Arabidopsis thaliana: one gene and its partner. The protein of the gene in region 2 purifies or fractionates together with the protein of the main gene of each other region. This does not show direct contact. Each region holds a gene or a part of one and is shown on either strand. Other genes may lie near its edges.

Evidence for each region.
Region 1: the proteins of ZAR1 (region 2) and AT5G11410 purify together in Arabidopsis thaliana (affinity purification with western blotting, with the first as the bait; one study listed by BioGRID). This does not show direct contact.

The regions. Positions count from the first base shown.
Region 1 is NC_003076.8:3,638,260-3,642,186, forward strand, and holds the start of AT5G11410 (Protein kinase superfamily protein), read right to left. Parts: upstream 1,707-3,927; 5' UTR 1,625-1,706; coding exon 1,546-1,624; intron 1,464-1,545; coding exon 1,237-1,463; exon of another isoform or gene 1,165-1,236; coding exon of another isoform or gene 1,129-1,164; coding exon 993-1,128; intron 910-992; coding exon 773-909; intron 691-772; coding exon 573-690; intron 486-572; coding exon 172-485; 3' UTR 1-171. Other genes in the region: AT5G11412 (RNA-binding (RRM/RBD/RNP motifs) family protein), read right to left, coding at 2,090-2,617. UniProt on the Arabidopsis thaliana protein: Together with SZE1 and ZED1, required for effector-triggered immunity (e.g. Pseudomonas syringae type III effector HopZ1a) via the activation of ZAR1, thus being essential for resistance against P. syringae pv. tomato DC3000 expressing HopZ1a.
Region 2 is NC_003074.8:18,933,920-18,937,846, reverse strand, and holds the start of ZAR1 (HOPZ-ACTIVATED RESISTANCE 1), read right to left. Parts: upstream 2,174-3,927; 5' UTR 1,960-2,173; exon of another isoform or gene 1,732-1,959; 5' UTR 1,721-1,731; coding exon 1-1,720. Other genes in the region: AT3G50940 (P-loop containing nucleoside triphosphate hydrolases superfamily protein), read right to left, coding at 2,319-2,687, 2,775-3,761.

The DNA of each region.
Region 1 (3,927 bases), on a different chromosome or scaffold from region 2:
AAGTTTGGGTATGTCTGTATCCATATAAGGCAAGTTTGTGGAAATTTTTCTAGGACTCATTTATAGAATGAAAGAAAAGAGTTGATGCGACATAGAAGGAGATTTTATCTTCTTTGTTTCAAACTTTTATTCCAAACTTGTTCAGCTTCAAATCTCATTAACTCTTACACATTAATCTTTAATCTCTGCAATATCATTCAAACCATCAAAGACTTGTTGCATCGATGGTCGTTTCCTTGTGTCCAACTTGATGCATCTTTTGATGAGTTTTCCCATTTGTGTCGCTGCATTCACAGGATAATCGTTCCCAAGTCGAGGATCGATGATTTCCCGGATTTTAGATTGATCAGACAAGAAAGGTTTAGTCCATACATGTAAGCTTTGCATGTTCTCATTCTTTTTACCATCTGAAGCTTTCAAACCAGTTAAAATCTCTAACAATATCACACCAAATGTATACACATCACTCTTCGTTCCCAAATGACCTAAGAACATTACACAACTGTCTTAAACATCGAACCACGAAAGATTAATTAGAGTGTTCGTTAACAAAACTTAAGATTTTGGTGTACCTGAGATTACATATTCAGGAGGTATATATACAGTTCTTCCTATGAATGCAGTCGTCACGCTTTCTTCTAACAAACATAGTTTCTTTGATCCAAGATAGAACAATTTTGTGTTGTAGTGCTGATGAAATTTATAAGTTCAGGCATTATTGTAAGGTTATAAACAATAAGAACAGCAAGAAGAGTGTTCTAAAGTCATTTACCTCGTCAAGCAAAATGTTATACATTCTGAGTTCTCGATATAGCGCGCTGTTCTTGACCCAATGTAGAAATGCAATACTTTGAGCTGCTCCTATGGCTATCTTGACCCGTGTTTCCCACGGTAATGCTTCTTCTTCTTCTGTTGAGAAAACATGAAACTGTAAGGCAATATTGAGTATACTGATTTTATAAATGGACCCATTGATTAGAAGAGATCTTAACTTCCGAAAATGTAACGGTTCAAACTTCCTTTATGCAAGTATTCGAAAACTAAGAATGATTTGTTTTCTTCACAACAATAGCCTAAAAGTTTGACTAAATTGGGATGAGAAATACGTCCAAGAGACTTCACTTCTTCCTGCAACTCAATAGTTTTTGTACCCATCAGATGCATAAGTAACTAAACAAAACATACATAAATAAGATCAAAGAGATAGAAATAGTAGTTGCGTAAGATTTTGGTTACCTTCCAGTCTTGTAGAGTCTGCGAATTATCTTGATAACATTCCATGACAGAAACAGTGATTCCAGTTCTTGATGGAGCAAAGGTTGTCTCATTGATGCAGCCTTCGTAGAATGTTCGAGTAAACCCATTATCATTACCTTTTATGACCATGTATTTTCTGAATCTCTTTGTTGCCTTGTTCAATTCGGCAAATCTAAACTCTTTCAAATTCTCCTTTACTGGCTCCACTTTTTACATTTATAAGACGTATTAAGATATTATTATATATGTAAACAAAAGTAGAAAGTGCATTTGAAAACGGAGATGTACCTGAACTTGAAGGGATGGTGAGAGGCTTGGGAGAAGCTGAAGGAGGTTGTTCTTTGAGAGGCTTTAGACAGTTTCCCATTGTTGATCATAAAGATGATAAATCTGTAGATTTTGATTTTTATATTTTAATAGATCTTGTAGGTTTTTTTATGAGGTTGAAAATGATTTAAGTGTGAAAGAAGCTTCAAAAAAGGTTGGGCTGTCTCAGAATTCAACACTTTAAAAAGTCAAGTTCACATTCAAAAGCCAAAAGAATCCACAGTATTTACTATTTACTATGCCAATGTCTATATAAATGCTTATAAGGCAAAATTTAGAAACATTCTAGAATAAACAGGGCTTGAAAAATTAGATTCTTGTTCTCTGTTTGGAACAGAAGAGATGCAATGTATATAAGAAAGTAAACATAATTAGATTAGAATCATGCAGACTAAACAGCCTGAAATCAGAAAATAGAACAACAAGTAGTGTCTCAGACAACAGCGAAAGAGATGGCTCATAAGTCAAAAGCCAGGTTGGTTCAAGTAGTAAGGACCAGGTTGGTTCACGTAGTAAGGGCCATGGGGTGTCCAATAACCATAAGGTGTGTAGGTATGATATTGGGGTGGTGGAAACTGGTCCCAGTTGGGTACATAGGTAGTACTTGTTGTTGTTGGGCGTTTTGGTTATTGTTAACCCTACCACCAATATAAGCAAGATTGCACTTGGCCTCTCGTCCGTCTATGACCGGTTTTGGATTCTGGCAAGCTCTCGTTGCAGATTCAGCATCTCTAAACGTGACAAAACCATAACCCTCTGATCGTCCCGTTTCTCTATCGCAAACCATATTAACATGTATAATATCTCCAAATTGTTCGAAGTAACTTCTCAAACCTTCGTTTCTTGTTTCCCAAGGCAGACCTCCCACGTATATCTTAGTGTATCTAGTGTCAACGTTTTCGTTCGCGTAATGTTGAGCCACGTCTCTGTCACAAGTATCAAAAAAAATTAGTGACAAGAAAGTTCCAACAATTAGAAATACATTTAGAAAATCCAACAATCGGAGAAAAGTACTAGATATGAAAATCTTCATTATGCATACATACTTTGTCCAATAAAAAATAGGAATTAGATACTAGAAAATTGGAAATTAAATAGAGAATTTAGGGGATGTATTGAAAGTGGAATTTTAAGAGATTTGTGTAGAATTTATAAATCCTATATTATAATGATTTTAAAAAGTTTCATGAAATTCAGTGTTATTGAACTAATGATTTCAAAATCCATAATTTGTGGATTTGAATTTTAATGATTTTGGAAGATTTGAGAGGATTTCCTTAGTTAAAAATACAGAAATCTAAATCTCATAGTTTAAGGTGAAATTTGAATGGATTTTACAAAAATATATGAACTTCTCTAAAATCATCAAAATCATTAAAAAAAACTCAAGAAAACACAAATCAGAGACATAAAGATAATAAGTAAGAGAGGATTCCACGTATTAGAAAGAGATGAAGATAATAAGTAAGAGAGAATAGATATGTTTTTAATGCACGAGAAACAATTTCATTACCATATATCTGCAGAGTGCGTATATGTGAAGTGAGAAACAAAATCACAATAAATATATATGCTCAGTCGCTCAGGAACAGAGAGACAAAAAGAAACAACCGAAGAACAAAGAGGAAAATTTACCCTTATCTCTAATATATCATGTGTCAGGGTTTAGGGAAATTATAGAAAAGAGTTAAGCTCACTTTTCCTTTTATAGGTTAGTTGATGAAAAATTTGATGGACCCAAAATGAAATCCAAGCCCAAGCCCATACCCAAAGTCTTTTTATTTCACTCAAACTGCTATAAAACGAGTCTCTTTTGTATCTATCAATTTCAATTTCTCCGCACACAATCAATTTTTCACATTAGCTATAAAAAGCATTAAATCAGATGATTTAAGAAGTCATCTCTAATTACTCCTTAAGCTTACATCATTTAAACACAAACACGAAAATTATAATTTACATATTATAATGGCCTATTAATTATAGTAATTTTGAAATTTATGAGATCAAAGTGGAGAAGTGTATCTAGAAAAGGATAGGCATGGAGGGAAAGAGAGTGAAGGCATTCCCATGTGAGTCACATTCACACGAGGGTCCTAAAAATATTGATGAGCTTATCTTCCTTGTCTTCTATTAATGCTTTTTAAGTTCCCAGCTAATATTGTTAGTAGTTTGATAGTGATATACCACATGTAAATATATATATTTTTTTGAAATATATGAGAGATTGAGAGTTCTTGAAGATACTTCATGAGATGATGCAATGGATAATTAATCAAGATCCTAATTTATTTTCTTAGGTAACATGCTTTTGTAGTTAAATTCTTAACAACAATAGCTTAC
Region 2 (3,927 bases):
GAGCATCAAATATGGATTTCGAGATATCGAGAACCCGAAGATATTTGCAGTCTGTGAATTTCTTAGCTAAGTCTGAGTTGAGCTTGTTCACTTCACCTGTCTTAGTTGTTGACACTACGCCTCTCAGCTTATGGTTAACTTTGATCTGCTTCTCATCAAAGTTTCCACTAATCCCAAGGTGACGACAGTTGAGGCCTTCCGGGTTAGAGAACGAATCCTTCTTGGCTATATCGATCACCAAATCACGAACCATGTCATGAATCTTGCAAGTGATGATGGTTCCGCTATAGGTTTTGTCTACAACTTCTATTAGACACCTGTTTGTGAGCCCGGAAAAGCAGTCTTCTCCAGATTCAGTTGCAGATCTTCCGTTTCTCCACATGACAAAACCTTCTCCGATCCATCCATGTACTAGTTGTTGTTTTGGTATAACACAGTCTTCTGGATAGAGCGAAAGCGTGAGAATGCACGACTTAAGGTGGGAAGGGAGTTCATCGTAGCTCAACTGCAGAGAAGACATAACATTGTCAGTTTCAGAAGTGTTTCCTCTTAGCTCATCCTGAAAATGCTCTGCAATTCGTCTCCATTCATGATAGACATGGTCTTTGCACAGAAGTAACCCACCAACCGCTTTGATTGTCAAAGGCAAACCTTTGCATTTCGTTACAATCTCCTTGCCAACATCCTCTAGCTCGGGACGCTCACAAGTACCGTCATTTGCTGCAAATGCCACATTACAAAACAGCAGCCAACTGTTATCAGGACTAAGGAGCTCTGGACGGTGAGTCTTGTCGTCTCTCGCTTGCACCCTTTTCGCTACAGATTCCGACCTTGTGGTCACGATAACGCTACCTCCTTGTCCTCTAGGCAGTCCTTGGTAGATCTTGTCCCACCAGCTCAAATTCTTGTCCCATACATCGTCCATAACTATCAAGTACCTTTTCCCCAAAAGATACTGCTGGATTTTTCTCAGCAATGTTCCAATATCATCTCCAACACTCGCGTCCCCCAAGTTCCTCAATATGCTTCTCATGATCTGTTCTTCAGTAAAAGTCTGGGACACAGACACCCATATCCTTCTTTCGAAACGATGTTCGATCTCTTTGTCATTGAACACTTCTTGAGCGATTGTAGTTTTACCTAGCCCTCCCATCCCAACAAAGGCCATTATCAAAAGCTGGCTGTCGTTTGATCGAAAGAGCCACTCCTTGATTTTTCTTTTATCTCCTTCCAAACCAACCACCTGAGTATGATCATACACCGGAGAGCTCCACCGATCAGTTCCATTATCTCTTCCAACATTACTCGGCGTTATGAATTCGAAATAAGGCTCTACTTGACTCTTTATTTTCGTTATCCTCTCATTGATCTCTTGCAAACGTTTGCTTTTCTTGTACTGCAACGGAACCCGGGCAGGATGAAGCCGCGAAAGCCACGCATTTGATGACCTTTGCTCGTTCCCATCATCACCATCCGCGAGCTGACAATCCACAAGTATATCCTCAGCTTCGTAAACCAGTTCTCGTAAATCCGCAACAAGAGTACGCAACGTTTCATTAGTTCTCTTCTGCCTCTCTGCATCCTTGAGAAAAGACTGCATATATTTCAATTCGCTTTGCAAATCTTCCAACTGTTTTCGGTAGTCCGATACGGTTCGGCCTTTTTCTTCGAGGATGTTCAAGGTTTTCTCTAAAAACACTGTTACAACAGCGTCCACCATTTACTCAGACCCTGCAACTTCAAGAAATATCTCTAATTGGTAAACTATAACCAAGCAATAATTCAATCGGTTATGTGTATCATCACTAGATTGAACTTTCCAAAAATCAATCAACCAACGACTATAGAATCTCAATAACCAAAAGATTGGATTATTCTTTAACTAATCCATATCTTCTCAAGAAACATGTAGAATCCTAGAACATTGAAACAAATCTAACCAAAGTAAAGTAAACTTACAAGGTTGTGACTTAGCCTTAGCCGAGAAGGATCTGAAGCTTCAGATCTTTGGATTTTTTTAGCAAAACTTGTTTCAGAAAAATGAGCTTACATAGAGACTTTATCGAAATTGAAGTCAATGGTTTAACAAGTCAAGAGTCAACCTTACTCGTTTTCTTGGTTACTGCTGCCGACTACGAAACTTGTCTCAATCTACTTTAGAATCTTATCATTGAGTTTAGACATGTTCTGACCTCATAAAACAATATCCGCATTTCACTTAGGAAAAAAAAAAATGATTTCACTTTCTGTAACATTTTATAACCAATAATTGCATGATAGTGTTTAACAAAGAAACAAATAAAAGAACTAAATTTCTTCTAAGCTTTTGAATTATCTATTTGCTTCTTGGCTTTTAAGAACTCAACAAGTCCTTGGAGTACTTTATCCACAGAGTCACTCCTCATCAGTTGTTCAGCTACTTCTGCTGGTGTAACTTCAATTTCTCGGATAAATTCTTCAATCTGCTCGAAAAGTATATGATCTTGAATCTCGAGATAATTCGAAGCCAAAACCTTAAAAGCAGCTGGTGTGCAATACGACATGTGAATGTGCATGTCCATACGTCCTGGCCTCAACAATGCTGGATCCAATTTTTCTCTGTAGTTAGTCGTAAACACTATAATCCGCTCGTTACCACAACTTGACCATAGTCCGTCTACAAAATTCAATAGACCAGAGAGTGTGACCTGAAAATGACTAACCAAAACATTAGTAATGCTAATAAGCAAAAGATCACATAACAACATAACTGATAGTGAATCAAAATGCATCACCGTTTTATGTAACGGATCGTTGTTTTCTTGATCAGTAGACCGATCTTTTAACTCGATTGAACAATCTATATCTTCCACAACTAGAATGGAACGATTTGCAGTAGACATAAGTAACCTCCGTAGCTCAGCATTGTTGTTAAGTGATGTCAAGTCTAAGTCATAGATATCGAAGTTAAGATGATTAGCTATAGCTGCGATCAAGCTTGATTTTCCAGTACCGGGAGGACCATACAACAAATAACCTCTCTTCCAAGCTTTTCCAACTCTCCCGTAAAAGCCTTTCCGCTGCACGAATCGATCAAGATCCTCCACCAAGTTTTTCTTCACCTCGGGATCCAGAGCGAGAGTGCGAAACGTGGAAGGATGATCTAGAGTCACAGAGGTCCACTCCACGGAGTAAGAATCAACGGTGAAGATCTTCAATGTTTTAAACTTTTGTTTAATAGAAGCAGCTTGTTCCACAACAAACGGTAAATAAGATTCAAGAACCATGTTCTTGAACTTCTTTCGGAAACTAAGCTCGTAACTACGCACTTCTGATTTCAAAGTGGAGTTGAGATCTCTCGGGTTACGAAAATCCTTTTTATCGACATGGCGACATACAAGGATCCAACTAAGCTTGACGCCATCAAAAATATCAACAACTTCCTCATCACGTTCAACAGTAACACTATAATTGCTCTGTTTCTCAAGTTTGTTAACTTTGATTCTTCTAGTGGAATTAGATATCTTGGTGGAGAGATAAGCCTCTGCAGCTTCAAACACTTGGTTGTGTTCAAAACCTCCAAATTCTTCTATTACAGCTGTCATCTGATAAGAGAAGTAGCTGAAGAATCTGCGAAAGCCGTGAGAGATATATTCATGAACCTCGTTTGGCATGTAATCTTGAACCACTGATCGAGCTAGTATTGCGGCTGCAGCAACTGATGCAACCGCTGTGAGAGCTGTTTTGGCGGTGGCTAGATGAGATTCACTAGAGGAACTCATCTCCTTCAATCATCAAAAATAAAATAAATACATTCAAGTCGGTTCTCATAAATCAAAGAGACAAGAAACTAATCCAAAAAAAAATCTGATTATAGAACAATAGTACTGTATTTGTTACTAGGTTACGTGGGGATAAATCTGATTAGGTTAAACAAACGATGCTATT